Linked DNA regions of Drosophila melanogaster. The protein of the gene in region 4 interacts with the protein of the main gene of each other region in a pairwise test. Each region holds a gene or a part of one and is shown on either strand. Other genes may lie near its edges. The genes, in order: Pex3, ninaD, PIG-C and CG3598.

Region 1 (8,421 bases), on a different chromosome or scaffold from region 4:
CGCCTTATCGCCGGCTTCTTGCGATTTGCCTATAGCTGCGGCTGACGTGGCCCTGGCATTGGTTCCGCTTCCACGAACATCTTTGCATTCTCTACAGAAGATAAGAGCCCAGCCTTGGAGGAGCAGACCATTACCGACCTGGGTGACGTTGTCACCAACTCCCAAAAAAAAAAAAAAATTAAGGTGCAAAATGTGAAAAAGTTAATTAAGCAAACACCGAGAGAAACGCTGGCATAAACAAACTCACAAGTCCGCCATATTGCTGGCAACCAAAGATGCCAGGCTAGCATTTCTGGCGGTTTAACGCCGAATGGGGGACTTTTTAGTATCTCTGATTTACGTTTATCTCTTGCTAGATAACAAGATTGATTTTTTCGAGTTGTCATTAGAAGAACATAAAACTTCATTGAAGAATAGTGGGGCGGCTTACCTAAGGATTTCGTTATTAAAAAAAAAACATAACTTACAGTTACAAAGTATTTAAAAACTGTTGTCTTATCTAACTCGTCAATGTTGAGAAACGGCTTGGAAATACATGAACAAATAACAAATTAAGTTTAAGGTTTGTGTAATTAGTTTTTCAGCGTGTTCACTGTCTATTCCTAAGCTGTATATATTATATATAAAAATGTTATACAAATAACCGTTACGAATATTTTGCAGGCCGTTTGTAGGCTTTTAACACATGCAATAGACAATTTTGCTCATAATATAAAACAAAAATTTTCTAAAGGTCAGATCTCTTTTCAAATGAACATTTTAAATCATTTTACAGCAGTATATAATTACACCTCTTTCCCAGTTCTGGCTATTTTCTAGCTAATTACCATGCACACTAATCTGTTGCTCGTGCCGAGCATCACTGGCGACGCAACACCGTTAGGCACGCGCAAAGACGCAGAGAAAGAGTTGAATGAACTTTCCAATGTATGGCCGTTGCGCCGCCGTGGAAAAAGGGACAGAAACCAGATTGTAAGTGAGAATTAGAACCAAAAAATCCAAACAGAACGAACCAGAGAAAGCAAATGGCGAATAAAAAGTGGTTTGGTTTGCTCAGGCTAACCTAGATTCGTGGGAGGAGAAGAGATGAGTTGCCCGACAACTTTTTGTTGCCTTTTGTTTCCATTAGATATTCTCAGTCGGAGATTATTGAAGCGGATGTGTGATATGCTGTGGCCACGCCCCACGGGCGCAGTGTTAGAACAATAACTAGAAATGTCGATAAAACGCAAAGCATATGCTGCGCACAACTTATTGTTTCCTTTGGCATTTAGTATTTGCAAGAATACAAAATTATAGCAGGTTTATGGCGACAACAATAACAAGTAGTACTGCAGTATAAGGCTATAAGGCCTTCTCGCTTGCGTGCACAGGTGCGGAAAAGAGATGGCACTTGCGTTTGAGAGAGCGCGCTCCTCCCTGCCCGTCACAAAAAAAACACAAGATGACGCGAGAGAGATAAAAACAGTTAAACAAACGATAAATTTGCTGGAAAATCAACTAAACAAATTTTCCAGGCCGCCGATTGGAACTAGTCTGTCAGTTGGCCCATTGATCAACTAGGATTTGCCGTGCAACATGATAGTCCAGATTTCAAGTCAACAACAACTGCCACGCAGACAGATTTTCTCCGACGCTTTGAAAGACCACGTAGCCGCTAAGCCGCATGAATCAGCGGGTGCGAGTGAGAGCGCGCTAGCGGCCGGCGCATTTCGCATTTTGATATTCGATTTTTGCCACATTTTGTTGAGATTTTCGTGCCTTATTTTCGATCTAAGCATGTACTTACAGAACTCGACCAGCACGAACTCGTTGTCGGCAATCAGCTGCTTGAAGTTGTCCACCGTCGCCACCAGAACACCCTCCTCAACTTTGACCTCCGCCTCGGCGGAAGCGGCCACGTAGGACGCCGCCAAGAAAAGTGCACAGATCAGGAATTTCATTGCGGGCACTCGTCGTCGTTTGATATTTATTGAATCTATTGCCCTATGTGGGTGCAGCACACTCGCCAACCAAAACTGGGATTCGAACTGCGCTGAACTTGCCCGGTTGCAAGTAGAAATTCAAATGAATTCAAGTGACAGTGAAACGCAGAGATATATACATATAAAGCTGAATTAGGTGAGGGATTTTTGGTATTTCTCTACAAGTTTCCGATAAATTTTACTAATATCGATATTTGTCAATGAATGAGCATTGAACTGTAGGTGGCGCTTGGGTGCCCAAAGGTTGGCAATCGTCGAAGGTAAATTTTTTTAGTTTAGGATCTCGTTTATATATTTGAAGTTTTATTTTTATATTTAACTAATTCAGTAATGTACTATTTTTTTTTTAAATATTACGGTTTTTTCGAATACCATAATTTTAAAATATTGTGATATAAATAGTATCGTATTGTATTGTATATAAGTTAACTTGTATTTAACATAAGGCAATTTGTAAAGGCCTTATAATTCTTCTTTTTAATTCATTTTTTTTATTAAATTTTATTTTAAATAACTTACGTCATTCTCTTTATGTCATTTACCCTTTTTAAAATAAAGACTGGTGTTGTGTAAACGCAAAAAAGACTGTGTAATTATTAATGCAGTTGTATTGCTTCTCTGTTTCATTGTAATAAAAAGTAAATATAAAATATTGTATCTTAAAAAGAATAAAACTCATTTCTTAAACAACTTAACAGCACACATGTAAATAATTCTTAAAAAGACAGATATTGGAAGAATATTTTGCGGAATTCAGGAGTCAAAAGCGACCACCTGTTGAATGCATTGTTCGACTATGCTAAAAAGTATTTCCGAAGTCTTAACACTACTAAATGGCCTATCTACAGGAGGTACATGGACAAACAGGCTTCGTTTTCTGTCCATATCGAGCGATTTCAGATAGATATAGCCGCAGAGAAAGTCACCCACATTTTTGGATGCCTTTGTGGCGCTCAGGGATTTGAGATTATCATTATGTGTCGGCTGTTGTGTGGGTCCCACACAATCGGCGCAATTCTCATTTACAACCGCCACAATCTTATCCACATCTAATTCGGTCTTCAAGACATTTGCATGTCCATTGTTGGGTAGTTCGCAAGTGCCGTTGGCCAGTTTTTTATCACAATTATCAGCTCGGCGGAACTTGTGATTGTACGCCAGCTTCTCGATGTATACACACTTGGCAACGCCCGAAACACCGACATGGATAACAAGCTGTTTTTTTTTTGTTTTTTATTTTTTTGGGAGAAAGATGATATCATAAGGCCTCTATCTATTTATGGTTCAATTGCGATGCTTACATATGGCTGGCGTTTCCAAATCTCCGCCACCGCCTCGTCCACAGCCCCGTATTCCACCGAAACCAACCGCTTTTCCAGATCATATTCTATGCCATCGTGAGTTAGGATTTCCGGCAGCAGTTTCACAGCTTCCCAGCTGGCGTTGACCGCTTCGTGACCGAGAAATGGACCAAATCCGGAGACTACAATGAGCTTTCGATCTGACGACGCCATAACAAACACCCCAACTAAACTAAACCCCCCACCAACAACAGAACTATCTTAAATACCATATGATTTCTATCTTCTTCTTCACCCTTTGAATCATGCGTTTCAAATGTTTGCGACGATGGCGGAACGGTGGAAATTGGAGCATATCGAAGTTTTTTATTTTTCGTCATTTATAGGTGAATTAACATTATTTTATATTTTCTATTTTTTTTTGAACCCACTTCGAAATAACGAAAAAATAAATAACTAAAAAGCATCCCCATTTTCAATAAAAATTTAAACAGTAACACCAAATATACTAAACGAAATGGTATTTTTCGGTATTCCCGAACCTCGCACTTTTGGGATTTTTCTTGAACGGAAACAGACGACGCAGTATGCGGCACCAAACAGAGAAATAACACATTTAGCGACAACAACAAAGGATAAATCCATTCCATACATTCCAGAGCTAGATCCGATCCAAAGGCCAGCAATCGACCCGATAAGGCGGCGCACCAGATCCGAGTTTCCGAGCAGGGGTATATAGGTGAGCACTACCTGGTAATCTAATCGCTGCGGATGAGTGGAGGACGCTCCTCTGTTGGCAGCGACGCCGGCAGCGCACCACCCTACGCACACAGGTGAACTTTGCACATTAACTATTTATTAACCTCGAACAGGTCGCCGGTGGAGCGGGAAAAAGTGGGATATCTGAACAGCAGTTGGCCTATTTCACACAGGAAGCGGATTCTAGTTGTCCATCCGGCAGAAGAGGCCTTTTCCAATCGTTAACATGCTGTCGCGCCTGCAGGACTTCTTGTCACGCCACCGGCGAAAGTTCATAGTGACCGGCGTTCTGGTGGGCGGTACCATCTTTGCGGCACGTTATGCACAACGGCGATTCGTGGAGTTCCAGGAGAAACAGGCCAGGGAATTCTTCGAGAGAACGCGGCGCACGACCCACTTTGAGTCGACGGAGAAGACGTGTAACCAGGTGATCCTAGGCATGGGCGAGGAGATGTGCCAAGCGGTTCTGAGGGAGTGCAGCACGGACGAGCTGCTCGAGCAGCTGCGCCAGAATCCCAAGAACAAGTTGGAACTTTGGGAGGACATGAAAATTGTGGCATTCACAAGACTGGCAACCTATGTCTACGCCTCCTCCATGCTGGTTATTGCGTTGAGGGTCCAGCTAAATCTTCTCGGTGGCTACATCTATCGGGACATCATGACGGAACAAAAACAAGTCACCGACGAGCTAAAGCAGCAGTATCTCTCCCTCATCCGACACTTTATCACGGATTCGGGCATCCGGGACTTAGCCCGTTACATTCGCACCCAGGTCATCGCAGTCACCAAGACCATACCGCTCTCCGAACAGCTTTCCCTTAGCGACCTGGAGCAACTGTTTTGGTCACTGCAAATGGCCATCAATGCGGACACTCGTCGGGATCCCAACTCGCGAATGAGCAAGTATCTGCTGCCCAGCCAGAATCCCAGTCATTCGCCGCTGCTGCAAAAGATGGTCAACGAGACGCTGGATCTGTTGGAGAGCGAGGATGCCGTTGGCGTGTGCTCGCACAATGTAAGCCGTGGTTTTGTGCTGGCCTGCGATGCCATCGCCGAAAGCATGGGCGAAACTTTGCAGCATCTGCCACAAGCTAAAGTCCAAACGCAGCAAGAACAGAGCGTCAAGTTTAACCAGGCAGGAAGCTTAGGCGCCAGCACCTCGAAGAGCCAAAACGGTCTGGAGAACAATAACTTGCTGAACATCAACCGAGTGCTGTTGGCGTTGGCAAAGCTCATTCCTATCATCAGTGGTCTCACCTCGAGAGGCTTCGATACCACTTCGCGACCCCACAATCTGCCCACCCAACTGCTAACCTTCTACGTGGTCGCCGAGAAGACAAAGACGCTGGGGGCCAACGTCTACGAAAGCTTTAGCTCCGCTTAGAGGATCAACAAAACTTGGATTATGCATCCGTGCATAGGCTAGGCTAAGACAATTGGAAAATTATAGTTTATATACTTGTATATTTTTAATAAGATCTGTATTCTCAGAAGCATTGTTTGTATGTCTGCTTGAACCCAACCCGTATTAGGTTTAGCTTCGTCCACGGGGAATCCTTTCAGGGCAGGGACACAAATCGAGTAACGTGAAGGCCTTTTAATCTAAATGGAAAGTTAGGAAATGCAACATATGAGAGAATCATATAGGATGGACCTGAGGGTAGTTTAGTATCCAAACTATATGAAAATGTAATTTAAAGTGTAATTGATTAATAGAATGATAAGTGACAGATTATTTATTTATACCATGCTAGAAAGCTTGGGTCTTAATCTTAAAGGAAGTGTAAACAAATGGCAACCTAATAAACTATGCATTCCCCGTATTTAAAGACTATTATTTTGCATATTAAAGTTTTTGAAGGAACTTATTCTTTTTATTCTTACAGCTAATTAAAACAGATATTGATTTATAGAATGATAAATTATACATGCGTACATAGGTGCATACTTGTATTGAATTAATAAGAAATAAATTCAATAATTATGTCGGAGATATACGAGATTCTTATATACTTTTTCCTCCAAGTTTCTAACAGTTTGCGGTTTTAAATGTACATAATATATTAATTTAGTAACGGAGCAACGGTTATCTGATAATCGGGGAACTCGACTATAGCATTCTCTCTTGTTATAAATGCTTAATATGTATAAAAATATAAGAATTGAATTATCGAAGACACAACCCACAAGTAACGGTTGTCTTTGCTATCAGTCAAAAGGGGGTGGCAGAAAACCGCCCTGTGATAAGACAGCTGTGTCTGTGGCTTTTGTTTGTTTGCCATTTCTCTTGTTCTTGCCGCTCTCTCCCTTGTTCACTCTCTTCAAGCACTTGCGCAGAAATGCCGCATGTGCGAAGATTCATTATAATATAACAATTATGAATAACTATCAAGCAGAAAGTAACTTAAAAGATTTCATAAATTGAACCAAGTTTATGCTTAAGGAGGTGAAAGTAATTAGATACATTTACATCACGCTCGCCCCTCTGCGACTTGTTCGCTCTCGCAGGACTCTCTCTTCACATCCGTCTCTCTTACTCCTTCGGGTGCCCAGCTGTCTGGTACAAAATTTCCATTTTGGGCGCAGTTGCAAAAGTTACGTGAAAAGGCAAAGGACAACAGTTACTTTTATACATCCCTGCGAGACTTTGCGTATGTGTTGGTGTAAAAAAAATAATTAAATATACAAAAATGAAAGAAATGCATTGAATAACTGATTCGAAGCCAAGTTAAAACCGAGTGTGCAAATATGAGAAATACTGCAAAAAGTACACAAATTGGAAAAGCCAGCTAAAGGAGGAAAGCCCACCGTCAAACAAACAAACAACAACAACGGCGGCTCAATTGTGTAAGTGCACTTGCAAAATGTTTATTAACCAGTCGATGGGGCTAAAAGCCCACTTAGCCCATCAACTTTTTACTAGCCGACCACAAAATATATTGATTAAGACAAAGAGAAAACTGAACATGAAAATCAAAAGGCCACATGAGCACATGTGAGCGAAAAAGACAGACACAGCGGTATATTGGTAACGGGACAGACAGTGCGTGCGTACAGTGGTGTGGGAGGGGGCTGCAAAGGCGGTGGTGTGGGGGAAAGGCAGTAACGGCAGTAACGGGAATACCACTCTTATAAGGTCTAAAAATATCAACACTTTATTATTAGCAGGGCCACAAGTGAGCAAACTAACTAATTGCGAAGAAACAATCAAATACTACTCAAAGGCAGCTCCTCGAAACGAGTGCTCAAGAAATAATGGTAAGGCACTACAAAGTACCCTTAAAAAAGTCATGACAGTATCGAATTTGGTATAGGCTTTAAATCTAAAAAATTTAATTAAATGAAATCAAAGGATCAAAAAGCTTTTTCAAAATCTTAAGGATCAAATAAAAGTTTTCCAACTGGCATAGGTTTTAATAAAGGTTAAAAGTATATATGCACATCTAATAAAATTAAAAAAGGTTCGAAAACGAATTACAATTTTTCTTATTTTTTATTTCTTGACAAATTTAATTGGCTTTCTTAATCCAATCACTTATGTCTATCCATCTTGAAAAATCAGAAAATACGCTATTCGTCGAAAAATGTTGAACAAATGCAGAAAGCATTAATAAGATTGGAAAAATTTTAAAGAAATAACCAATTTATATATATGTATGTATATATATTTCGGATTCAAACAAATATTGGGTATATCAAAGCATAGTACAGCAAATCATAACATGTCCTTCAACAAAGAGTATTAACTTGTAGCCAAGAAAGTCAAGTGCGTCAGCGTGAAGATAACAAAGAAATGACATTTTCCCCAGCCAAAGTCCGTGTGGGAAATTCGAGGAAAACAATGCATGCAAGTCAGGCAACCCCTGCACCCATCACCTTTTTACCACATTCCTCCCCTTTAGGGTGCTTGGGGTCCTATATTGCACAGTATATATAGGCATATTGACATACTAAGGGCGTAGATCAAGTGCCATGTGACAAGGGGCCACAGCACCTAACTAAATATAAACACATAAATTAAGGAAGCGAAAGCAGGACACGACTCAAGCTAAAGAAAAGTGCGTCATGGGTTTTCCGTGGAAGGCAATTACTTGGCATACAAAGGACGTTTTTTAGAATTCAGGTAAATTGGTTAGTTAGGAGCCTTAGATTGCATGGAATGAAATTATGAAATTGAAATGGTGTATACTCTAGAGCAGTTTTAATATTATTATTAGTCAATTTTATTGAGCAATAAATATATTTTAAATATTATTATTATCTGTGATCAAATAAAATATTATTCAATTAGCGGGAGGTACCAGAAAAAATCAACACATTACTATATTTACTAATTCGCAGTATTTGCATTTCCCATGAACTCAACTGATAAGAAG
Region 2 (7,961 bases), on a different chromosome or scaffold from region 4:
GGTCGCCGGACGAGAGGGGCACCCAAAGTGGGTGGAACGGGAGGAGCAAACAAATTAGTATGCAAGTCAGGCAGCCGATTAGGACACCGAAGTTTTCGCGACATAAACGGACGGCAGGCCACAATGGCAACATCCCATCCCATCACATGCCCTTCATGCCATTCAAGCTCTTTTTTTTTGGTTTTTCGGATTTAGCCAAAATAATGAAGTCGGTCACTGACGCGATCTGTTGCTTGTTATGCCTAGAGAAAAAACCGCAGGTTATGGTAAACACAGGTGAGTCAGGTGTTTTGATTTCTTGATACCGAAGTCGCTGCACAACTATTTTATAAAATGTTTGTATATTATACATAAAAGTGCATTTTGTGTTAATTTATCTTCAAAGTAAAATATTTATTTGATTATTGCTGCTAACAATTAGAACATGACGTCCCTCAAGAATATAATTCCGAAAGAATATTTATAACTGGGTATCATACACATTAAAAAGGTATTAAAATGTCAGCTAGTCTTCGCACCTTGACAAGCAATTTCCAAAATTAAATGTTCTTGTTTCTGTTCACAATTTTCAGCTCTACAGCTGACAGACTGCCTCTTTTTGTGTTATTTTGGGTCCTCTGTCGCTTTTGGGTGTTGCTTAAATATTTCATTAAAAATTCCACGCACAATTGCACATTGCTGTGGTTTCTTGACCAAGCATAGAACAACCTAACTGGAATAAGTCCATGTTTAATCTTTAAAATAACAGTGGCTAGAGAATTTTACTGAATTTAAATCGAATTACTACCACAAAATGGCTACTGCAAAGCGTTTAGTGTCAAAAGAAAATGTGTCTTACGAAGAATGTAGCTTTATTGGGAGGAAGTTTCACATTTGCGTAAATAAACAATAAATTTCACAGGCTCAGATGTAAATCAAACTAAAAACAGATAATCTAATAAAATGGTACAAGTTGAAGCCGAGCAGAAAAATGATAAGCCACATGTGCTCTAAATTTTAGTAAAAATGCTATGCAATCCTTTCATTTAACCTCTGTCAATTTGTCAACACATTTTCAAATTAAAATGATCAAGAATTCAAGAATGTTTTATTACTATGAATAAAATAGCATGGGTTTCGTTAAAAAGGAAATTCTCACTTGGGCCCAATAGCAAAATAATTTGAAAAATTGTAAGGATAATTCACTGGAATGATCTTAAGTAATTTGATTTATATGATAAGATTTAAGAAATAAACACTTTGCAATTATTTATATTGGTTTTTATATTACAAATAAAACATTCTTATTAAAGTACTTACTTTATTACCCCAGTTTTCTTGGCCCGACAGAGATTTTGCTAAAGTTATGGCCGACACATACTGGCAGTCATATAATTTTCATATTTTCATACATTGTTTAACTTGTTCCTTCGCCCTTTTCGTGGGCCACGAACAATGTGTGTGCAAAACGTAAGTTTGCGTGCTTGGTGCATATAAATTAGTCGCTTATAATATTCTTTTGGCATTTTTCAAATTTCCAGTTCGGTATTTGCCGGCTCTGCCTGGTGAAAGAGTTCGTACGCCATAAAGTATGCAGCTTACGTGCTCAAGGATTTCTCCCTTCCCGCCTTCTTAGCATAGCATGAACGAGCAGCAAAAAACAATTATTAACATATTAATAAATTTTAGCATATTTGAAAGGCCATAATTTAGTGTAATTCTAGATGCCTGCAGCTGGGCAACACCTGAGGGAAATTGGATAATCCAGCCAAGCACGTAATTTGCATTTTTTATGGCCGGGCCTTAAAGAGCCCTGACTGATTATGGCCTTAAACAATGCCCAAATATTCCCATTGATTAGCGAGATTATGGCTTTGTTAGCCTAAACAGTCTTATCAGTTTTGAGTGCATTGCAAATGTTTGTCGGGCCTTTGTTCGCTGTGCCATTTGTGTTTTTTTGTGATGAATATTCCAGTTACGACTATTGACATTCCCAAAAGAACTAAGCCAATTCCTGTATACATTCCAATAATCGCAGCATTTAGGGCAAGCTATTAAATAAGGTATTACATTTTGTTATTCATATGTAGATATTTTCCATGCTTTCCATCCTACCTTCAATAGTTTTGTGAGCCCTTCGTCTAATTCCGCATGCAATCTCATTGTAAATAGGGGTGCATAATGATCATAGGCCACGTTCTTGAACAAGCTGGATAAGGAGAAAAAACAAGTTTTTGGTTTAGATCTTGACCCTACATTGATATTAATATTTTCTTTGTCTTTAAGCTGATACTATCTATGTTAATAGTGACAATTTCACAGGTACAAGAAGGACGATTTTACGTTCCTGTGTAAATTAGTCTGTGTTAATCGTACTTTTCTTGAACAAATGGTTTTGGAGACTGGGCAGCGTCAAATAAAAAACTCACTCAATGGCCTCGTCGCGCACCACTTTCGTGCTAATCATAAGCTGCCCCCTCAAGCTCAATGGAATGCCGAGAGTGGGCTCCATTATCACATACATGCCGTGCTCGGATTCCTCGGGCTGCAGGCCAGTGGTGTTTTCCCTGTACATTTGATCTGTGAGGAAGAAGTGCGGATGCGACATGTAGAACGGGCCATTGAAGGCGGGAGGACCGTAATCCAGGACTCCGTTGCGCGGGCACTCGCGATTCTTGAGGCAAAAGCACTCAGTGTCCGGCGACAGCTGGCCATTATCGATGGTGAGATTGGTGGACTCGTATCGCCAGACATCAATGCCGTCTATGGTGAGATTTTCCTTTGGAAACAAGTTCAAGTACCGCGCTGCATCTGGTAGGAATATGGTGGTGGGCTGATCCCACGTCCTGTACGGCGACCAGAGTTCCCCCGTGCTGCCATTGACCTTGCCGCATTCGCCGGGATAAAAGCCGGTGGTGTTCTCTCCATTCCACAGGAGCAGATCTCCCAACTGGCTGAGATCCCCACGGCCAGTGTGCAGTGTAAAGTTTCCCTCGGCCGTCTTTGAGTTATTCCTCTCGTAGAACCAGCCAAAGGTGTTGTCGTAAACCGGGAGCAGGGGCGAATGCAGCTGCTCCACGAAGTCAAGCAGATGGTCATAATAGCCATCAAAGAGCCACTGGCCAGCTGTGTGGGTCATATGGGTGGCGCCGCCTTCGCGATTGAGAGTAAAGTTCATGACCTTGCGCAGGATGCGGCGCAATCGGCGCGAGTACAAAGCAGCTGTCTAAAGCGTATAGCGGGATTAGAGGGGATTACTGGATGTGGCGACAGATATTCGGACAGAGATATTCGGTATTCTTAATGTAAGTTTTGCCGTCAAATAGCATAGCACTCAACCTTTAATCAGACTTACCAAAGTAGGAAAGTGTGGGGCTATAACTACATCATCAAGCGATCCATTTGACTTTTCCGGTAGAAAATGCCAGGTACGTTTGCCGAAGTAGGTCACCTGGGGCTGATTCCATTCCAAATCTTCCTTGACCTTAAAGTCACTGAAAGTGTAAGGCCCCAGCTGCTCAAAGTGCGGCTTAACGCCCTCGGTGTTCAAATCCCCCGGATTAGTCCAGTTGAAGAGGAAAACTGTGCTATATACCGGCGTGGGCGTAGTCACCCAGCGATTGTAGATAAAAGAGTTGGGAGCCAGGGGCAAAAGACTTCGAATCCATTGCCGAGATACGGCTGGCCAGGCTGAGGCCAGAAAAATCCCAATTGCCAGGATCAGGCCTCCCATGGAGAAGACCCAGATCTTTTGCTGGCGCACACTGCAGCAACCACAACGCATCGCCTCCGATCGATTTCGATACTGGTACGTCAAGCAATTTAAACGGGGATATTTATAAGCGAGCCCACTTTTGGGATACATTGATGTTCAATAATGGGAATGCAAGATTAGATTTCAAGAGCAAATTAACAGGTGATTTTTTTATTTTTATATTTGTTTTGAATTCTCCACTTGGAACGCTTCTGATAGGCTAATCTCCGAAAGCTTTTTCAAGTGGCTTGTTTTACGGCCTGAGTTAAATGTTATACGAAGTTTTGTGATTATATTTCGTTTCACTCATTAGATAAATCATTAGATGCACTGTAAAAAAGAAAATACAACTGAGATACGAAATCGTTTAAATAGGTATAGGAATCACATAACTATTATACAAATTTGTTGAGTTTTTTAAATCTTAATTTTAATGATTTTATTTAATTTTCTTTTTCTTTTGTGTATATGAATTAATTATAAACTAAAAAAGACACACAGATGATGTTTGAATTTTAATTTTAAAAACAATTAAAAAATGTTCTAAAATAAAACCTTTATTTAAAGAGCCTATTTAAATTTGTGTACAAGCTTCTATAAATTCATTCACTCAATCATTTAAAAAACCACATAGATAAATATAAGCTTTAACTAATTTAATTATTGTAAAATGAAGACAATAGTTATATGAGTTTTTTAAATTTTATTAATTTTTTCAGTTGTTTAGAAGTTTTATATTTTAAAGCTAGAATAAAAAATGTTTAGAGTTATTTATCACATATATGTTTTTTGAATCACATCCGTGTGCTGCTCATTAAAAAAAATGTTAATACTAAATTAAAAGTTTCGTTCGACCACGTTGGCCGGAACTTCCGGTTCATATGGAGTTTCCTCGTTATCCTTGAGAGCCAGTTTGTCCAACTCGGCCTGGCCATACCACTTCCTCTTAATGGTAAGTAAGATGCCAACTGCTATAAGAATGCAGCCCAGGCACAGGAATCCCACTCCAGTATATCTCCCTATAGCCGGTAGATTCAGTGCCAACTAAAAGACAAAATGCATTATTTAAAATAGAAATCAACGTAGTTCAACAAGCTCTAAAACATACCCTAAGTTCTGAGGCGAGGGCTTCGTCGATTTCCGCTCGACTAGCAGTGGTAAAAAGTGGTGCATAGAAGCTGGGCAGGCCCTTCAGTATGCTAGGAAAAAATGTGTTTATCAAGTCATATATATGGTAGGCAACAATTATTGTAAATAATTACTCTATAACGCTGTCTGGCTCTATGTACAAGGTAATCATCACATTGGCATTGACCTTCAACGGCACTCCCATCTTGCGCTCCATGATGATATAAAAGTTATTTTGATCGTAATTCGGATTGTAGCCGCTTATCGTGCTGCCATAACTTTCGTCCGCGTACATAAAATGATCCGCAGAAAGGTACATGGGAACTCCATCGGCACACGGTCCTAGGTCAGTGGCTCCGGTTGCAGGACAATTATCTGGCTGGCGCTCCAAAGGACACCAGCACTTCGCGTTACCATTGATCTGTCCATTGTCGAAGGTATTCGGCGTTATCTCGTACTTCCAACCCGTGATGCCCTGAATTGTTTCGCTCTGTCCGGTGAACTCAAGATTTATGATCCGACAAGTATCCGGAATGAAGATGGTCAAAGCCTTCTCCTTGGGCTCATCGGGCACAAAAAGATCCGTGGTGCTGCCATTGAGACGTCCACATTCTCCATCGTACCATCCCGTGTGATTCTGGCCCTTCCAATACTTAATTTCACCCATCTCCTTGATGTCACCCACTCCGGTGTGTACAGTGAAGGGACCCTCGAAGTCCTTCGATCCGTTACGGTTGAGGAACCAGGCAAAGTGATCCGACTCGATTTTTGGGACCAATGGATTATTCAGGGTCATGGCGTAATGCAAAAATTCGTCGTAGAAACTTTCGAACAGCCATTCAGCTGCCGTGTGGGTCACAAAGAGATGTCCACCATTCGCATTTAGGGCCTCGTTGAACATGAATTTCAGGAAGACGTTGCTATTCCGCATTTGGTTTGAAGCAGCCTGCAAAAAGTGAAAAAGGAAAACTTCTTTTAGACCAAATTGTTTTTTAATAACTGCTTATTTCCTACCAATGAAGGTAAATGTGGGGCGGTAATTAAATCCGTTTGCTTGCCGCCAGAGAGCTCCTCTTCCCAGAACCAAGTTCTTCTGGGGTTAAAGGTAACTGTGCCATTGTCGTGCCACTCAAGATCCATCTTCTTCCTCTCCTCTCGATAAACATAGGGTCCAAGTTGCGCGAAAATAGGTTTTACTCCATTAGCCTGCACATCTGCGGCATTTGTCCAGTTCCAAAGATACATGTAGACATACACCGGAATGGGCAGCTCCTCCCATTTTTCAAAAGTCTTTGAAGTGGGTGTCAACGGCAAGGCCTTTTTAATAAATCGATTAGTACTCCTCCTTAATTTTATTTTTATACACCGCCTCTCACCTTCATAATCCCTGAGTCTATAAAGCCAGGCCAGCATATTATGGCCAGGAGTCCGGAGACCGCGAAAAAGGTTCCCAGGCCGAAGACCCAGGCCTTTTGTTGGGTCACCCCACAGCAGCTGCAGCACATATTGAGAGACGAAACAAAGGCTTTCGAGCGACTGCAAAGTGGAAAAATATCGCTCGAGTTTTTATTCATGCGTCGCTTAGTAGATTATCCACTAGTAAATAAAGCAGCGGCTAATCATCATGTCTACTGTGGTAATCAGCTCGGTTTGGTTTGCTCAACTTATTCTGTGGGGTGATTGGGATCTAAGTGTGTGTTTAGAGTACCAAAAATCCTGATAAATGCAAAACGCTGCACTTAGTTTATTGAGAGTGCTGGCTAATCAGCCAGACTAGCAGTAGTAGCTATTTCATGCTGCCACGTACCAAATACCACTTGGTAACTAAATCAAATTTAACGATACATGGTACAATTTTATTTATAATAGTATATAAAAGTAATTAGGTACATTTTTATTTTAGGAATTAAGTTTCGTTTATCAGTTCTTAAGTTTTTAATAGCATGCCAGAGTGCTTCCTAATTCGCATTATAAATTAACTTGAAGCTAGTTGATTAAACTATTAATACGGTCAACTATTTTTGCCTTGACGCTCGCCCATCTTATCGGTTATATAGCATGTATGCTTAAATTAGTATTTGCAATGCAATTTTTATGGTCAGCCACTATAAAAGATCACTTCCAAAGACGGCAATCTAATCTTCCTTAATGAAATTCGATTAATCCCATTACGCAAAACCATTTTAAACTCATTACCCACCTGGTCTGCCGAAATGTTGGCAGCGTGATTGATCAGTATTTCAACCCTGACTATTGGAAAATTTTGATTAGAGTGGCGTTATCGTTAATATTGGGTGCTTATTAAAAGTGGGACTGCAAACATTCACAAATTAAATGGATGCGTTTGAAGTGTGTTCGCTTAAATTTTACGATTTCAAAGTCCAGCAAGAAGCTCACCATATTATATCAATTATTGTCCATTTTCCTTACTCGAATTCAGTTCAGTAAACTTCCTCCAGCATAGTGGCCAAGTATTAATTAGGCTGCTCCTCGGCTTTTCAGAGTAGCAATAATTGGAATTACTAAGCCACAAATGCAAGACCCACTATTAGTAATTGAATAGATTGCACTGGCTTCTGTTGATTTCCCCATTGCACTTCAATGTACATAATCAGCAGACATTGCAAGATATCAAATACTACGAAATGCCTTCGTAAGCACATTATTAAATATTTAGTGCGCATTCCATACAAACTTTCAATGCTGGAGCCTTTTCAAATACACCGTGCTAAATTCAATAGAATACTCCAAAATACATACATAAACTCTGTTCATATTTAATTGTTAGTTGAGTTATAAATATAATACACATACACACATACAATATATGGATATTGGATTTGCTATATAGGAAAAGTACGACGACTGCAGTTCAGAACATTTCAGCAACATCAGCATTTTTTAGGATCTACAAAAATCGGTTTGACTTGTAGAAATACGCCATTTTTTTCGTTGGTTGAGGTAGCCCTTTCAGTTTAGGCCTCAATGGAGCCCTCGGCTTCCAGTTGGGCCTTGCGACTTGGCTGTAAATAATTGATTGCCTTTCAATAACTATTCAAATATTTGGGCACACCTTTTATTACCTTCGGGTGCATCAGAA
Region 3 (7,234 bases), on a different chromosome or scaffold from region 4:
CTTAAAGCTAGGTTTAATTTGGTAAATATACACTACGGTATTTACAAGGTGCATATATAAATATCCATTATATAGTACAATAACTTTTCGACTCCATAAAAACGCCCCACACCAAATGCCTCGTTGGGGTTTTTCTAAATTCCATGACGTAATAGTAAACAATACAATATAATAGTTAGCACAGCTAAATATGAATTCCTGAACCGAGTTTCTTCATTTCACAATCTGGTTACAAGAGCATTCTCCACAAGAGAGACCATGTCACCCATAATAACTATCTTAATACGAAATAAAGACTAACTAATAATAGTTGTATTCTAGGGCGGGTCGATTTGTTTCGATTGTTCCGTAAAAAGAAGCTAGAAACTGTAAGCAAATTGGTCGTGGAAGTTGTAGGTTGGGCAATCAAACAATCAAAATATTCTCTAAACAATACTGCACTTTTCTTTGGACTTTGCGGTGCTTAACATTTGCTCAAGTTCCAAAAACTCACATTTTTAATTTGAATTAAATAATTGATTTTAGATCATACTTTTAACAATTTAAAATCGAACCACCCTTAGAGTAGCTTACAACTATAACGTAATATGGGAATTTTAGCCACGATTCGGAGAAGTAATCCAAACAATTTTGAACCGTTTAACATCCTACTACTATACAATATTCAATTATTGTACTCTGAATCCAAGGACAAACTATTGCTCCATGGGACACGCCGACGGCATGACGTTGTTATTGCTCGGACCCATGTAGAGCATACCGAACCGTTTCTGCTGCGGCGGGCAGACGACGGGAGCAGGAGCTGGAACCTCGCAGCGCTCCTTGAAGTAGTGGACGATGCGATGAAGGACGAACGCGAGGATCTTCTCTTTGGCGATCTCGCCATTGAGGAATGTAATGTCCTTGCAGTCGCGGTACTCGCTGAAGTTCTTTTCGTAGTGCGGCCACACACAGAGCTCGAAGTAGCCCGTGACATCGGGTGGATCGTATGTGCGCTTACTGCGCCGTTCGAAGCACTTCTCATATGGCAGATGGAAGTGGTACTTAATGTTGCACAGGGCCAGCAGCTCCGGCTGGTTGAAGATCATGAATCCCTCGACCAGGAGGAAATTGACCTTCTTGTCCCTCAGCTGGGCGGCAATCTGCGCATTGATGCTCATAATGTGCTGCTGCTGCTGCTGGATTTGATGGTGCTGGTGGTGGTGCTGCTGGTGATGGGGGTGATGTCTCGGGTGCTGCTGTGGCGGATATTGATAGACCCCGCCATTGGCCTGTTTGTAGTAGTTCGCATTGTACTGGTACTGCTGCTGGAACTGCTGGGCGTAGTGCTCGAAGTTGGCATACGTCACAAGGTGCTCCTGTGGCTCGGGAGCCACATGGCGCCCCTTGATTATGTGCGCTATGTCGTTCAGCATCTTGGCCATGTCCAGCGAGGTGATGAGCTCGAAGTTGATGGCGTTGAGCGCCTCATTTCGCTGATGTCGCTTGTCCTCCACGGGCAGAAAGTAGTCATCCTGCGAGATCAGACGCACCTCGCCAATGGTGTACGGCGAGTTCCACAGCGGCGCTCCTCTCAGACCCTTGAAGTAGTCGTGCAGGCTGTGGGCTAGCGTAGTTTTGCCACCACAGGTGACTCCCGAGATACCAATGACCAGCCACTGCGGCATCTTGTCCACGACTGACTATCGCTCTTCCTTGTTTTTCAGTGGAATCGTACGTTCGCGTTCGCACCGAGCAAGATAACCCCCCGGATAACCCCCTTAATCACGTTTCACTCTCAGGCTCCAGATGTGGTAAAAGGAGAACGCGGCGATGCCGCCGAGGAAGATCACCCCGAACACGGTGGGCACAATGAAAGCGTACTTCAGCGGTGGAAAGAACAGCCGAATGGGATTGCCTGTAAAAGTTTGTAAAGTATACTCATGTTCACAAGTGTTTCATTTGATAACAGGCCAGGAAAGAAAATACGTAAGTATATTGTTTTTATGATTACTCTTAATAGCAACAAATTAAAATTGTCACGGAACGGCAAAACTACGATCATGAAATATTTACGTATAAAGTGAAGAGCCAATATCCAGGCGGAAAAACTACCGAAAATAATTAGCTAAGTACACACCCAGATTTGGAACCACATAATACAGTGGTACCACTGGTTAAGCACGTTTTCGTTTTTATCGCTGATTGTACATGCCTAGACTCTACAATAGCTAACTAGTTTGACTGTGCACATATCGGGCGAATACTGTACTCCTATCATCACTAGTCGTCGGTGACCTTGACCCGAGCTTAGAGCATCGTACAGCCGCATTCCAGGTAACCCGTGTTAGGGTGGTCACCTCTGTAAAACACACGGGTTCATCCTCGTACACTGCCAACTATATATAATTGAACATCGTGACCAATTTACGCCGCGGCGTCACTTTAATTACTATACAAAAGCGCGAGATTATTCAATAAAACTTATGTATTAGCGGGTGAATAACGGAAGCCGTGGAAAACTCACCTTCATCGATGAGCATAAACGGGAGGACGGCCACCCAAAAGAAGTAATAGAAGAACACGGCGATTGCAGATATCAAAATGATTTTCCCGAGTTGCGCATTCGAAGCCATAAATAGCTATTCTCGGAAATTCTGGGGTTTCTCTGGCGAGAGAACACGCGACCGGCGATTTGTTTGTAAAACTGCTCATGGGGCGTTCTCCCCGGACGGACTGCTTCACTGTCCACTGATCGTTTACCCGCCGCACGAATCCCTAATGTTTTTTCGTAGCTGCCGATTTACTTTCGTGGCGTAATTGTAAACAAAACAAACAAGTGCGTCAAAAAATTTCCGAATTCAAGGTAGTGGTGGTTCAACCACTCGAACAAGTATCGATAGCTCGAGTAACTGTTTTGCGCAACACCAGCGGATGTTCTTATCGATGTAGGCGAGTCACTTCTGCTTGGGGATAATTTTCAGAATAAGATTTGTATATTATTAGCTTGCTGTAAAACCCCTTGTTTAGATAATGAACAGTTTATTAATATTTCAAATTAAACTATCATCATCGATATTTCAAGTGAAACATGCATCACTATGACAGTGTGACCAGCACTTACTTTCAATACTTTTCAGTGGATAAAACAATATCGATATGTCGATAGTAACTGATACTATCGAACGCTGATAACCCAGCACTAATAGAATTGTAAACAAACAATTTTTAAATTTAAGAATGGTAAAAAATGGGCAATCGAAACGGCAGCCATGGGTGAAGAACCTGTACTCCAACCGGGAATATCCGGACAACTACACGGATGCCAGCTTTCTGAAGGATCTGCGCACGAATCTACATTGTAGAATATACACGTTCGGCGAAGCAATTGCCGGTATTACAGTGCTTAATAATCAGATCTCCTGCATCACCGGCTTCCTAATACTCTACCAACTTATGCTCAGCGACAGCGTGTCGCCCACCACGATCCTGGTACCCAGTTGCGGGATCACAGGCATTGGATACCTGTGCTACCGAGGAAGGAGTCTCAGCTGGGCCCTGCTGGGCGAGGATTCCAAAACCCTGGTCACAGTGGTCCTCTTCGGCTACTTATTCTCACCGATGCTGCACACCCTAACGCAGGCCATCAGCACGGACACCATATACACAATGACCTTCTTTGTCCTTCTGGGCAACCTGATATTTGGACACTATGGATTGGATGTAGCCATGGTCTCTAAGGTAGGCAATATTTACGGCTATTGGTGTTGATTGTATATTGATCTTGACTCCACCTCAGAATCCTATATAATACAAATACTTCTTGTTCCATGTTAAGCGCAGGCCGTCTCGTTGAATGCCGCCATATTTGGAGCAATTTGCTTAGCCTCCCGCCTGCCGACTTCGTATCACGCCTTCGTGCTCCTTGTCGAGGCTGCCGTCTTTTTCGTCCTTTATCCCATAATGACGGAAGCGAATTGGCATGCTGGATTCATGTTGCCTATATTTGCAATATGCTGTATGGCGCTGTACTGTATATCGCGCCCGGTGCTCTATCTCTACGCCTCCACCACCATTTTCATCAACTTTGTCTGCCCGTTCATATTCGTGTGGCAGCAGCAGTACAAGTTCAACATTCACGGGCCCTGGGACGAGGCCATCGTGGAGGAGAACACCGAGGAGAACCTGGATGGGAACTTATAGCGCCAGCTGCGCTTCTCAGAACAGTTGCCGCCACGACTGGGTAGCGGCGACGTCGAGGAGCACTTCACTGATCGCTAAACCATTGCACGCTTATTTTTATAACTTTGTAAACTCATTCCAAGCCATTGATGTTAATCTTTTGTATCATGTTATATCTGTTAGTTTGTAAGTAGCGTTTTAATAAATTATACTTTTTGTGTTTAAAACCATAGCACTTTTAAATTTGTGTAATTTTTAGGGGACTTTCTTTTGGTCCTATGAATGGCTTTTTAAATAAATTGTTATCAACTTAAGGCAAAGGTTTTTCAATTGAAAGATAATGGAGTTAAATTAACAGGGTGAGTTTTTTGGCTTGGTTGTGTTTTACTCAGACTAAAAATAAATTTAGTTAAAGATTATTTATCGTCAGCGACTAAAACCCGTTTCGTAGATAACAATTAAACATTCGCATGAGCATACATTGAATATATTTGACCCTATCTAACGCAAATAAATTGAAGCAATTGCTTTAATAATAGACTATGGAATATGGATGAGTGACATCTGTATTAAGTGCACGCCCTTGGGTTTCCCAGAAGTTCCTAGTCTAACCAGAGATTTAATTATTTTAGTATTCTGCGTTTTACCTATCTATGTAATGCATGCTGTCCTGCAAGCTACTTCCACAGTTTCAGTAAGCATTCTTGAGAGATAAATAATCCAGATTACATCATATAGTATCGCTGTACGCAGCGCTCTATTTTCTGCAATTATTCATCCTATAAATAGAATAACTTAAGCAGTATTTGAAGCATGTTACAATCTGAATAAAAACAAATTATTTTAAAATATCGTTAAATTTTCAATACTTCACAGACTAAGTCAGAGAATTAAGGTGTTAGCTAGTTTTAATTGAGAATATATTTATATGTACTTATTCATATATTTTGTAATGAATAAGAATAGAAGAAAACCTTTTCGAGTACGTCATCAGTTAATATTAACATTTTTAAGGAACAATCCTTATCCGTCCTTTGTACGTACATTTAAATACCTTAGTATCACATAGTTAGTATCACAGTTGAACCAGTACGAAATAATCATTTGCGTTGCAATAATATATTTAATATTTATTTATAGTTATCAACAAACTATAACATTTAGTAGTTTTCCGGCAATTTAGAGCAACGCGCCTTGAAGGATGGCCTAGCATCCCTCGCACCAGCACTTCAGACTGGGACTGCAGTGGCCACTGGATCGTCCTTCCTCCTTGCACACCCGACGACAGGTCTCGTTGTCCCAGACGGCGCAGGGTCCTCCGTATCTTCCAGAGAGACAGTCGGCATCGGCTTCCTTGGCGCCCAGGATGAAGATGGTCATCACAGCCAGGAAGAGGTACAGGAACTTGATCTGCATGTTGTCGGTTTTGAATCAGAGTGCTGCTGTCGGAACAATTCGAACTTGATTTATGAGTCCAAACCCCCAGCAACCGCTTTATATAGGGATCGGGATCTCTCTGCCAGCTTCGTCGTATTTCTGGAATTGATTGGCAGATAATTGGAGATAATTATTGAATTGTATTTCATGGAAGGGCATACTTTAGGGCTGATAAGACAACGAAAACTGACTTCAAAAAGTATTCTCTTTCGAGATAATGATCATTACGGTAAGTGTCTAAGAAAAGTCGCATGAAATTTCGTTTTCTTTTTAAAAAGTTTCACTGCCATCTTCTCAGTTAGCAGTTGAGTAAGAATGCGTAGTTTTTCTAATGGAAAATTAAAAATGGCTTATTAATAATCTGCCGACATTGATTTTATGCAATGTGCCATTTATCACGAGACTTCTAGGAAACTAATTAAACCAGTTTCATTAATTAAATTTATTCATAAATTGTAAAACTGTCGAGTTTGTTAGGAAAACCCAGAACCGGATTCAAACACCAAACTTGCACTTTTCGATGTAACACGGTTGATAATTTGTTGGAAATATTAACATGACAAGATTATCTTTATTTCCCATAAAGTGATATGGGTGCTGGTAAATGAAGATTTGTGTTCATAAATGAAAATGGCCTTTCCAACTCTTGTTAAGACTGAAATAGTCTATGCTTTTTTTTTCTTAAATGCTTATTATGAGTTGAATTATATATTCCACTTCTTTCTAAATGAATTTTAGCTTTCTATTGAAGTTAACTCTGATTATTTATCATTTAATTATTTCTTCCATTCCATTATAAATCTCATTTTCGAAGTAAATTTATGATTTTAAAAGGATTCGTTCTTTAAGTAGAAATAAAACTGTATTATTTGCTGTGAAGTATATTCTTTATTTTTCTTTTCAAAACAATAAAAAACATATGACACACATATGTGTCAAACATATTGGACGATGAGGATCCTCAGCATTGTTCGCACCAGCACTTCAGACTGGCACTGCAGTGTCCACTGACACGTCCTTCCTCCCTGCAGAGGCGACGGCACTGCTCTCCATCCCAGGCCCAGCAAGGACCACTGAATCTTCCAGATGGGCAATCCACGGCCGAAGCCGAGTTGGCCACCATTAGGACAATGGTCACCACAGCGAGGAGAGCAAACAATCCTTTAATTTGAGCCATTATTAGAATGTTCTTCTGGTTAAAATCTTTACTTTTGAGTTTCTTGAGTCCGACTGCACTCTTATATAGGTACAGAATTTGTATATTAACCGATTAGCATAAAGGTGAAAATGCAAATAACTGCAATATAACTTTCGAAAGGCATACTTTTGGGCCTTTTACGCGACAAAACGCGCATCGCTATTTTGGGATGATAGAATTGCTATACCTTCTTGATGTTGATGCACCTTTTTGTTTAATATACTTACCACATACATATTAAATCAAATCAAGAGATAACTCCTGAAAGGCAATGCTTACGTGCCTTTTACTGTGCGGTGTACAGTATATTTATTATTGGCTCAGAATAAACAAAAAAACAGCATGCACTTTTGAACTGCAGTGGATCTAGCATCCTTCGCACCAGCACTTCATTGCGCCACTGCAGTGTCCACTGACATGTCCCTCCTCAATGCAGAG
Region 4 (7,096 bases):
TTCCAGCATTATTCAGGCAGGCGATCGTTAATTGTTTCCAACGACAATAGGCCGGGGTTAACGCTCAGGCAAGTGGCCAAAAAGCTGGCTAAAGAAGCTGGATGCTGCCAGGCAGAAAAGCCCGAAGAAAGATTCGTATTTTGGATTTGTATTCTTCAATTTAGGCGTGTGTGCAGATATTTGGTCATAAATTCCCCCCCGCCCCAGGCAAAGGTCAGCACCTGCCGAATCGGTTTTGGCCATATAATTAAAGCCTGAGAAGAGCCAAAGAACGGGCAATGAACTTTCAACTCAATTGGGCCCAGCCCATAATTCGGACTTAGGCCAATTTATTAGCCAGCTGCCGGAGTTGGACAAAAACTGAAAAACCAAAACTGGACAGCAGCTTTCTTTGTGCCGTTGCCTCGTTTGAATATGAATCTTTGAGGCCTGACCCCGTTGAACTTCTCCTGCGGCACATTCTTATGGAAATTAAGTTTGCGTTTCTTTTATTTTAGAAATTTTTCGCAGCAGTTTCCGCAGCCTGTTGCCAAGCGGATTTTACTGTGACTTCTTGAATGTCTTGAATAAAATAAGTTTGCATAAAATTGACCCAAGTGCTTGTGGATTTCATTTTTTTGGGGGGAGAAAATCGATTTCAAATTAGCGGATTTATGAAATATATTTAAGACCGTTTAGCGAATTTATATACAACATACATATATGCTAATTTTTGGATGACCCAATTTGGCCCAACAGTTAGTAAGAGTTAAAAATTGAAGACCACAAAAACAAAAATTAATTTATGCGTTCCCACAAACTTTGAAACCAATTTCCAGATCTAGATTAAAAAAAAAAAAACAGTTACTAAACTCTGTACTCTTCGAACTTGGAAAGTTAAAAGTCTTTTTTAGGCATTACAAAATGATCTAACATTTTGGAAATTATATTTCACTATGAATATTTATGAAATGAGATAATATCGGTATATATTAAAGGCACAGTTCCTAAATTGCTGGAGGGAATAAACTATTCTATTTTCTAAAAATACTTCTTTGATCTTTTTAAATTTTTGCCGATGAATTTCAACCTGTTGAAAATTAATAAAAAGCGAAATGAATAGAAATTTAAGAATATAGAATTGACTTTGGTAAATATATTCCAGTTTCCAGTGGGCAGCTATAAAAAATGGTTAAAGGACCGAGGCAAATATTGCATTTGAACACTCATATTATTATCCAAACTATTTGCAAATAATAATTAGTTTAAATTAGTCAGAATGGCCATGACTGCAATATCACTTTTATATCTAAAAGCTGTGAGGTAAAAAAAAAAAAACTCAAATCTGGAAATGAGTCAAGGGGAGAACGCAACCACTGCAAAATTGGTTTTCTATGAGTTCGCATGGCCACTTTTGGTAGCCGTTTTCGAGGTGAACCTCTACAGGATCATTCTGGAGCTTTTGGCCCACATCCTGCTGATCGTAATAACCGTGGTGATGGTCAAAAAGACCTCGGGTTTGGATGACCACAGCAGCGGCCAGCATGCCCTATACGCCATTTTGGGACTGTTTCTATGCGTGGGTGAATCTCTGTTGGTATGCCACTCCTGGTGGTTAGGAGACTTCATCTCCGAAAACCGGCTCAACCTTCTGCACATGGTATTGGGAATGGTGGGACTTTGGCTGGGACTGGTGGGGATATTCGCGAAGAGTATCTTCAAGAGCAAGATACATGAGCCGCACTTTAATTCCAAACATGGATTGTGTGGCCTTTTGGGATTCCTGCTTATCGCTGGGGCCGTGGCCAGTGGTTTCGCCCTGGTGTGCTTCACCCACCTGGCTCTGCACGTCATCCACCGATTGATGGGCTTGTGTGGCTTTGTGCTCCTCTCGTGCAGTCAGTGGTTCGCCCTCAATTTGGGATTCGCACGACGGGAGTGGAGTAGTTGGAAAATTAAAAGGCTCAGGATCTCCACGCTGGCCGCCACCATTTCAGTGGTTAGCTACGAGTTCCTCTGCCTCTGTAGAGACATTGTCCATTTGCTACCCAACAGCTGGTTCAAAGCCATCGGATTGAAAATTGATCACCTTCACAATTAAATTTTATGACCAAGCATTGTGAATAATTAAATTGAAGTGCTGAAGGCAATTGCAAAATGTTTATATTTTCTAAGCCCTACCATATAAAAAAGTAAATCACACAAAAATTACATTTATAGGAATTCTATTCAGCATGACAGCAAATATTTGGAAGATCAAGTGAAGTTTGTTAATCAATTTCGAAAGAAACATTAGCATACTTTCTGACTTTCAACTGAGAAATCCCTTGGAAAACAAAAACACTTTAATATCTATGCTTGCTATTTGGTCATATTGCAGTATGCCTAAGATTTTAAACAAGTTTCAACATTGTTTAATTAAGAAATAATAAATTCCGTGTCAAAAATTGTAGATTTATTGCACGACTAAAGAAAACAGTAAAATTACAGAGGGCTCGCATGTGAAATATTGGCCAACCTTCAGTCTTTCACCTGTACAATTGGCCATTTCCACGCATAAGAAGCCTCTTGGCTGGCATATTAATCACGGGACAAAGGCATAATTCCATCCCAACGTGGCTCGATCAATCAGCGATGCTGGAATACACATTTGCCCCCTATACCATACACCCCTTTCATCGATATTCACATTGGTCATTGGGTATATGACCGGTGGCCGGGGATGGGATACGACCACTTCGCATGCGTCGCTGACTCCGAGAGCAGGTCCATCATAGGTTCGGATCGGCCCTTGACTTCTCGGGTTTCTCGGTCTCTTGGGATGCCGAGATTTGTGCGTGTCTCTGATTGTTTTGTCATTAGCATGACCGCGGCGCTTTTTTTTTTTTTTGGGCCTTTGGTGTTTTTGGTGATCTTCGACTTTTTGATTCGGCGGCTGCTGATTTATTCAGCGCTCTTTCTTTTGTCCCACCGGCGGGTCACTGACATTCGTTTCTAATTCTATTTTTCACCATTTTCTACATTTCTTCCACAAAATTTCGCCACTTGAAATTATGCCGACATCGACCGCAATTATGACCAATGTTCTTGTGGCCTGAGTGGGCTCTCTCTTCTCGGTTTCTATGGGTTCTAGATTATGGATTCTGGATTTTTGGCCAGAACTTTTTCGCATAAAAACCTAATGCCGCCGCCACAGATCGTACAGTTCTGTTTGGGCCTTGCTTACAATTAGGATCCGGTCGGCAGTAAATCTTTAATTTCTGTGCACTTTACGTCGAGAAATCTTCAAAAAAAAAAAAAAAAAACAAGATGTCCAAGCTGGGTGCTATCTTGTTGGTGGGCTTGTGCCTGTTTGTGGCCGTGGCCTTGGCCGAGCCACGCCTTCAGCACGTTCAGGGGCGCAATCAGGTGCAGGGTCAAAGGGCGCAGCAGCATCCCTACCTCTTCCTGTCAATTCCCAAGGGTCGGGCCAACGCCGGCGCCGTCGTCCAGGGCTTCGAAATTGTCGAGGAGGAAGATGATGATCTACATGATGAGGACCAGCACGATGACGAGACGGAGGATGACGAGGAACTGGAGCATCAGCTGGGCCTGAACTTTGCCCGCAGCGGTCTGGCTTACAGGCAGAACCACGCTGATGACGAACAGGACGATGATCAGGATCAGGAGCAGGATCACGTTCAGGATGAGCTGCCCAAGAAGCAGATGATGGTTAACCGGGATCAGGCTGGTGCCATTATGGTGCCCGATGGCATTATCGAGATCGAGGGTCAGAGTGTTCTGGACGAGAAGACCGGCAAGGCGGCTCTCCTAGTGCCTCGTGCCGCCCTAGACGCCATTCCCGATGGCGCGGTGGTGGCTCTTATGGAGCGATCCGCCTCATCCGTTGATGAAATCGAGGAAGAGCGCGCCAACCGCGTGGTAGTTCGTCGCCGCAAGAACAACGGACGCAGGAACATTCGCCGCCGCGGCATCAACAACAACAATATCCGACGCCGCCGCCCCGCCCAAAGGCGTCGCCGAGTGGGTGGCAACCGCAGGCGCAATGTACGCGTCATTCGCCCCCAAGGCGGCAACCGTAGGCGTGGCAACCAGAGGCGCCGCGGACAGGTCGTATTCCAGGGTTGAGACACGAAACGAAGGTCGTCCTAGCCCCATTTCTATATAGTATTATAGTTAAGATCCCCTAACGATCAGGACAAGAAATTTGAGACACTTGATGACGATGCGACAAATAAAATGTGATATGAAAATTATAAATATTTTTTTTCGTATTTTTTATGGGTGGTGAAATTATGATGTGAAATTAACCAACATGCAAAGACTATGGTTTTGAATCATTAAGTTGAAACTTATTTTAAAGGTTTTGCCGTAAAACATCGTATACTACTTGTATAACTTTATTATTTATTTATCATATATGGTGTACCATTTCCTAGCAGTGTATAAGATACATAAGATTGCTTTGCCTCAAAATAGATCACTGCTTAGCTCCATTGATAGAAAAATTTGCATTTATCATGGAGTTTATTTGTATCATGGTTCAGCTTTATTCCAGTTTATCCTTTAACTTCGACACAACCTTAGTTATAAGTCACTTAATGCCCATAGGCTATCAAAAGTATGATATATGAATTAATAACTGCAAATTTTGTATGATAAAGGATCCGAAAATCAGATGGTACACACATATATACAAACAATGGTAGAGAAACTCATTTGAGAACATCTCTATAGAACTGTAAAAGTTTCGTAGTAAACTATTTTTGCTAATCGTTTGGCCAACAAAATAGGTACTACCGAAAAATAACCGTTTAGAGATAAAATTCATTTGATTGTCGTATATTGGAACCAAAGATACTTTTGGTCTTATCCAAATATATATATTAATCAAATGAAAGTTTTAAAAAGTCACGAAATAATTACACAATAACAGTATGTACAATACAAATGTTATATGGAAAATTAAAATATATATTTATTGAAATAATTTGATGTCGCATTCTGATTATATTTTGTCATTGTTTTTGGGAGAGCAAACATACAAAAATAGATAAGCACATATTTTGGAATCGTTGTCAAGAAAAGATTTGCCTCCGAACTATGCAATAAATCGCGAACCCTTTGTAAATTATAAATTTTGAGATTTCATTAAGTTTTGATTTTTTCGAAACGAATTTGGAGACTTCAGTTGAGTACTCCATTCTTTGGTGTGGAAATGCCGAGCACTGAGTGAGCTGAAGCAAGCAGAGAACTGACATCCCAGAACATCTGTGTAAGCCAGATTCCGTGGGTCAATCTCGGCTTGACGTCAATCAATCATCGGCTACTCGGCGATGGATAGAAGAATGGTTTTGGCAAAAGAGATGGGAAATTAGCATAAAATTCGTACGCCTCTGACCCGCGACCCGGTTCACTTTGACCCCGGGCGAACTTTTGCTAATAGAGCTGGCCAAGAAGTGGGAACTGAAAGGAAATGGGGATGCGGGGCGGATGATAGCCATCGATCAGCTGTATGAGCTCCAAGTGGGTATAAAATCCCGGGTCAGTCCATCAGTTGTCAGTCAGTTGTGAGTGAAAACTCAAAGACAACAAGTGAGTTAGGAACCCTCGATCCACAGTCAAGGAAGCCGATTATCCCGATAAGGAGAATCCATCTGCAGAATGCATTGCCTGCTTCAACTGAGTCTGGCTGTGGCCCTTTGCGCCCTCTTAGCCCCATCCACTACCTTGGGTGAGTCCTCAAATATTAACAGAAAGTCGTCAGTCAAGTCACAACTACTTTCTTTATATGTTCCTTAAATATTTCGTATAATTTTAAAATATTTTATCTCAGCCGAACGCCGCAATGTGTACCGCCTGGGTGGACGCGCCTCCGACGCTCAGATGGAGGCCCGCTTCACCTCGTCGATTGCCAACAAGCTGACATCTCTGAAGGGCACCACCACGACGACCACGGTTGCCCCCACTACCACCACCACGCCCACCTCCACTACGGAGACGACCACGCCGACTGCACCAACAACGTCCACTGGCACCTCGACGAGCACCACGACGCCCACAACCTCCGACACCACCACCGGTCGTGCCTTCCCCGCAATTCAAGACGATGTTGAGGAAGATGATGAGGAGATGCCCAGGGCGTTTGAAGATGAAGAAGACGAAGGTGATGACAGCCTGGAGGACGAAGATGATGACGACGATGAGGAGAGCTACTTTGTGGCCGCTCCTTCCGCCGGTGGCAATAGCAATGCCGTGCAGCAGTCCTCAGAGTCCGGCTCGTTGGTCCGCCCCTCGGAACTCCAGTGGCGCCAGTTCCAGCAGGAACAGCGCAACCGTCGCCGAATCCAGCGCCTCCAGCGTGAGCACAACCAGCGGATCAGGTCCCTGCTTCGCCGCCAGAGGGCCGCCGAGAAGCGAAGCCAGCAACGCTTGCGCCGCCAGCGCCAACAGAGCCGTAAGCGCGTCTCACAGCGCCAGCGCCGCAACAGGAACCGTTCCAAGGCCCAGCGCCAGCGCCAGAGGAGGAACAACATGAACCGTCGTCGCCGCCAGCAGCAGCAACGCCAGCGCAGACACCGCCAGCAGCAGCGCCGCCGGCTCGTGCGCCTCATGCGCCGTCGTCGTCGTGGCGGACGTCGCAACTAAGGAGTTGATCCCAGATCCCCAACCGATCCCAGAACCCCCGAAATAAACTGAACTTGTATGCAAAAAAAAAGCAAATTTTTTTTTTTCATTATTACGAAAACAAATAGCGAAGGGTAAACTACAATGTTAGATCATTGCAGCATTAAGATCTAAACCAGTAAGAAATGGAATTCTGTATGTAATCTATACCTATAGATCAGTCTTGATTTATGGAAAGACTTTATGACAAACAATTGGACAAAACAATGGATGAAACCATGGTCATCATATGAGATAACTAAGATTCTAAATATCCCCATGATTTTATACACCAACTTAGATTAGATGCAAGAAATTTGTATTGGGTCACATTGGTCTAAATGGACATTCTGTGCTATTGGAAAAACTGCAGCTTAGGATACCAAAGATGCTACATTTATCTAAGAACCAAGCCTTAGTCTCGTAAGATCTGCGACTCTGTCGTTGCCCA

Evidence for each region.
Region 1: the proteins of CG3598 (region 4) and Pex3 interact in a two-hybrid assay, tested with the Drosophila melanogaster proteins (one large-scale study listed by BioGRID).
Region 2: the proteins of CG3598 (region 4) and ninaD interact in a two-hybrid assay, tested with the Drosophila melanogaster proteins (one large-scale study listed by BioGRID).
Region 3: the proteins of CG3598 (region 4) and PIG-C interact in a two-hybrid assay, tested with the Drosophila melanogaster proteins (one large-scale study listed by BioGRID).

The regions. Positions count from the first base shown.
Region 1 is NT_037436.4:15,140,511-15,148,931, forward strand, and holds Pex3 (peroxin 3), read left to right. Parts: upstream 1-3,844; 5' UTR 3,845-4,039; intron 4,040-4,158; 5' UTR 4,159-4,271; coding exon 4,272-5,429; 3' UTR 5,430-5,869; downstream 5,870-8,421. Other genes in the region: Pdi (protein disulfide isomerase), read right to left, coding at 1,790-1,943; CG32147 (uncharacterized protein), read right to left, coding at 2,739-3,200, 3,287-3,499.
Region 2 is NT_033779.5:18,080,070-18,088,030, reverse strand, and holds ninaD (neither inactivation nor afterpotential D), read right to left. Parts: upstream 6,404-7,961; 5' UTR 6,367-6,403; coding exon 6,238-6,366; intron 6,179-6,237; coding exon 5,876-6,178; intron 5,808-5,875; coding exon 4,996-5,807; coding exon of another isoform or gene 4,992-4,995; exon of another isoform or gene 4,935-4,991; intron 4,933-4,934; coding exon 4,842-4,932; intron 4,778-4,841; coding exon 4,571-4,777; 3' UTR 4,423-4,570; downstream 1-4,422. Other genes in the region: CG31741 (uncharacterized protein), read right to left, coding at 1,875-2,030, 2,095-2,188, 2,409-3,205, 3,335-3,763; Arr1 (arrestin 1), read right to left, coding at 7,837-7,884, 7,945-7,961.
Region 3 is NT_037436.4:3,315,178-3,322,411, reverse strand, and holds PIG-C (phosphatidylinositol glycan anchor biosynthesis class C), read left to right. Parts: upstream 1-3,179; 5' UTR 3,180-3,219; coding exon 3,220-3,720; intron 3,721-3,822; coding exon 3,823-4,182; coding exon of another isoform or gene 4,183-4,260; 3' UTR 4,261-4,384; downstream 4,385-7,234. Other genes in the region: CG12016 (uncharacterized protein), read right to left, coding at 696-1,667; Dpm2 (Dolichyl-phosphate mannosyltransferase subunit 2), read right to left, coding at 1,761-1,897, 2,507-2,615; Drsl5 (Drosomycin-like 5), read right to left, coding at 5,368-5,577; Drsl4 (Drosomycin-like 4), read right to left, coding at 6,560-6,775; Drsl3 (Drosomycin-like 3), read right to left, coding at 7,163-7,234.
Region 4 is NC_004354.4:2,933,840-2,940,935, forward strand, and holds CG3598 (uncharacterized protein), read left to right. Parts: upstream 1-3,187; 5' UTR 3,188-3,288; coding exon 3,289-4,107; 3' UTR 4,108-4,234; downstream 4,235-7,096. Other genes in the region: CG3592 (uncharacterized protein), read left to right, coding at 1,331-2,080; CG14420 (uncharacterized protein), read left to right, coding at 5,644-5,713, 5,816-6,627.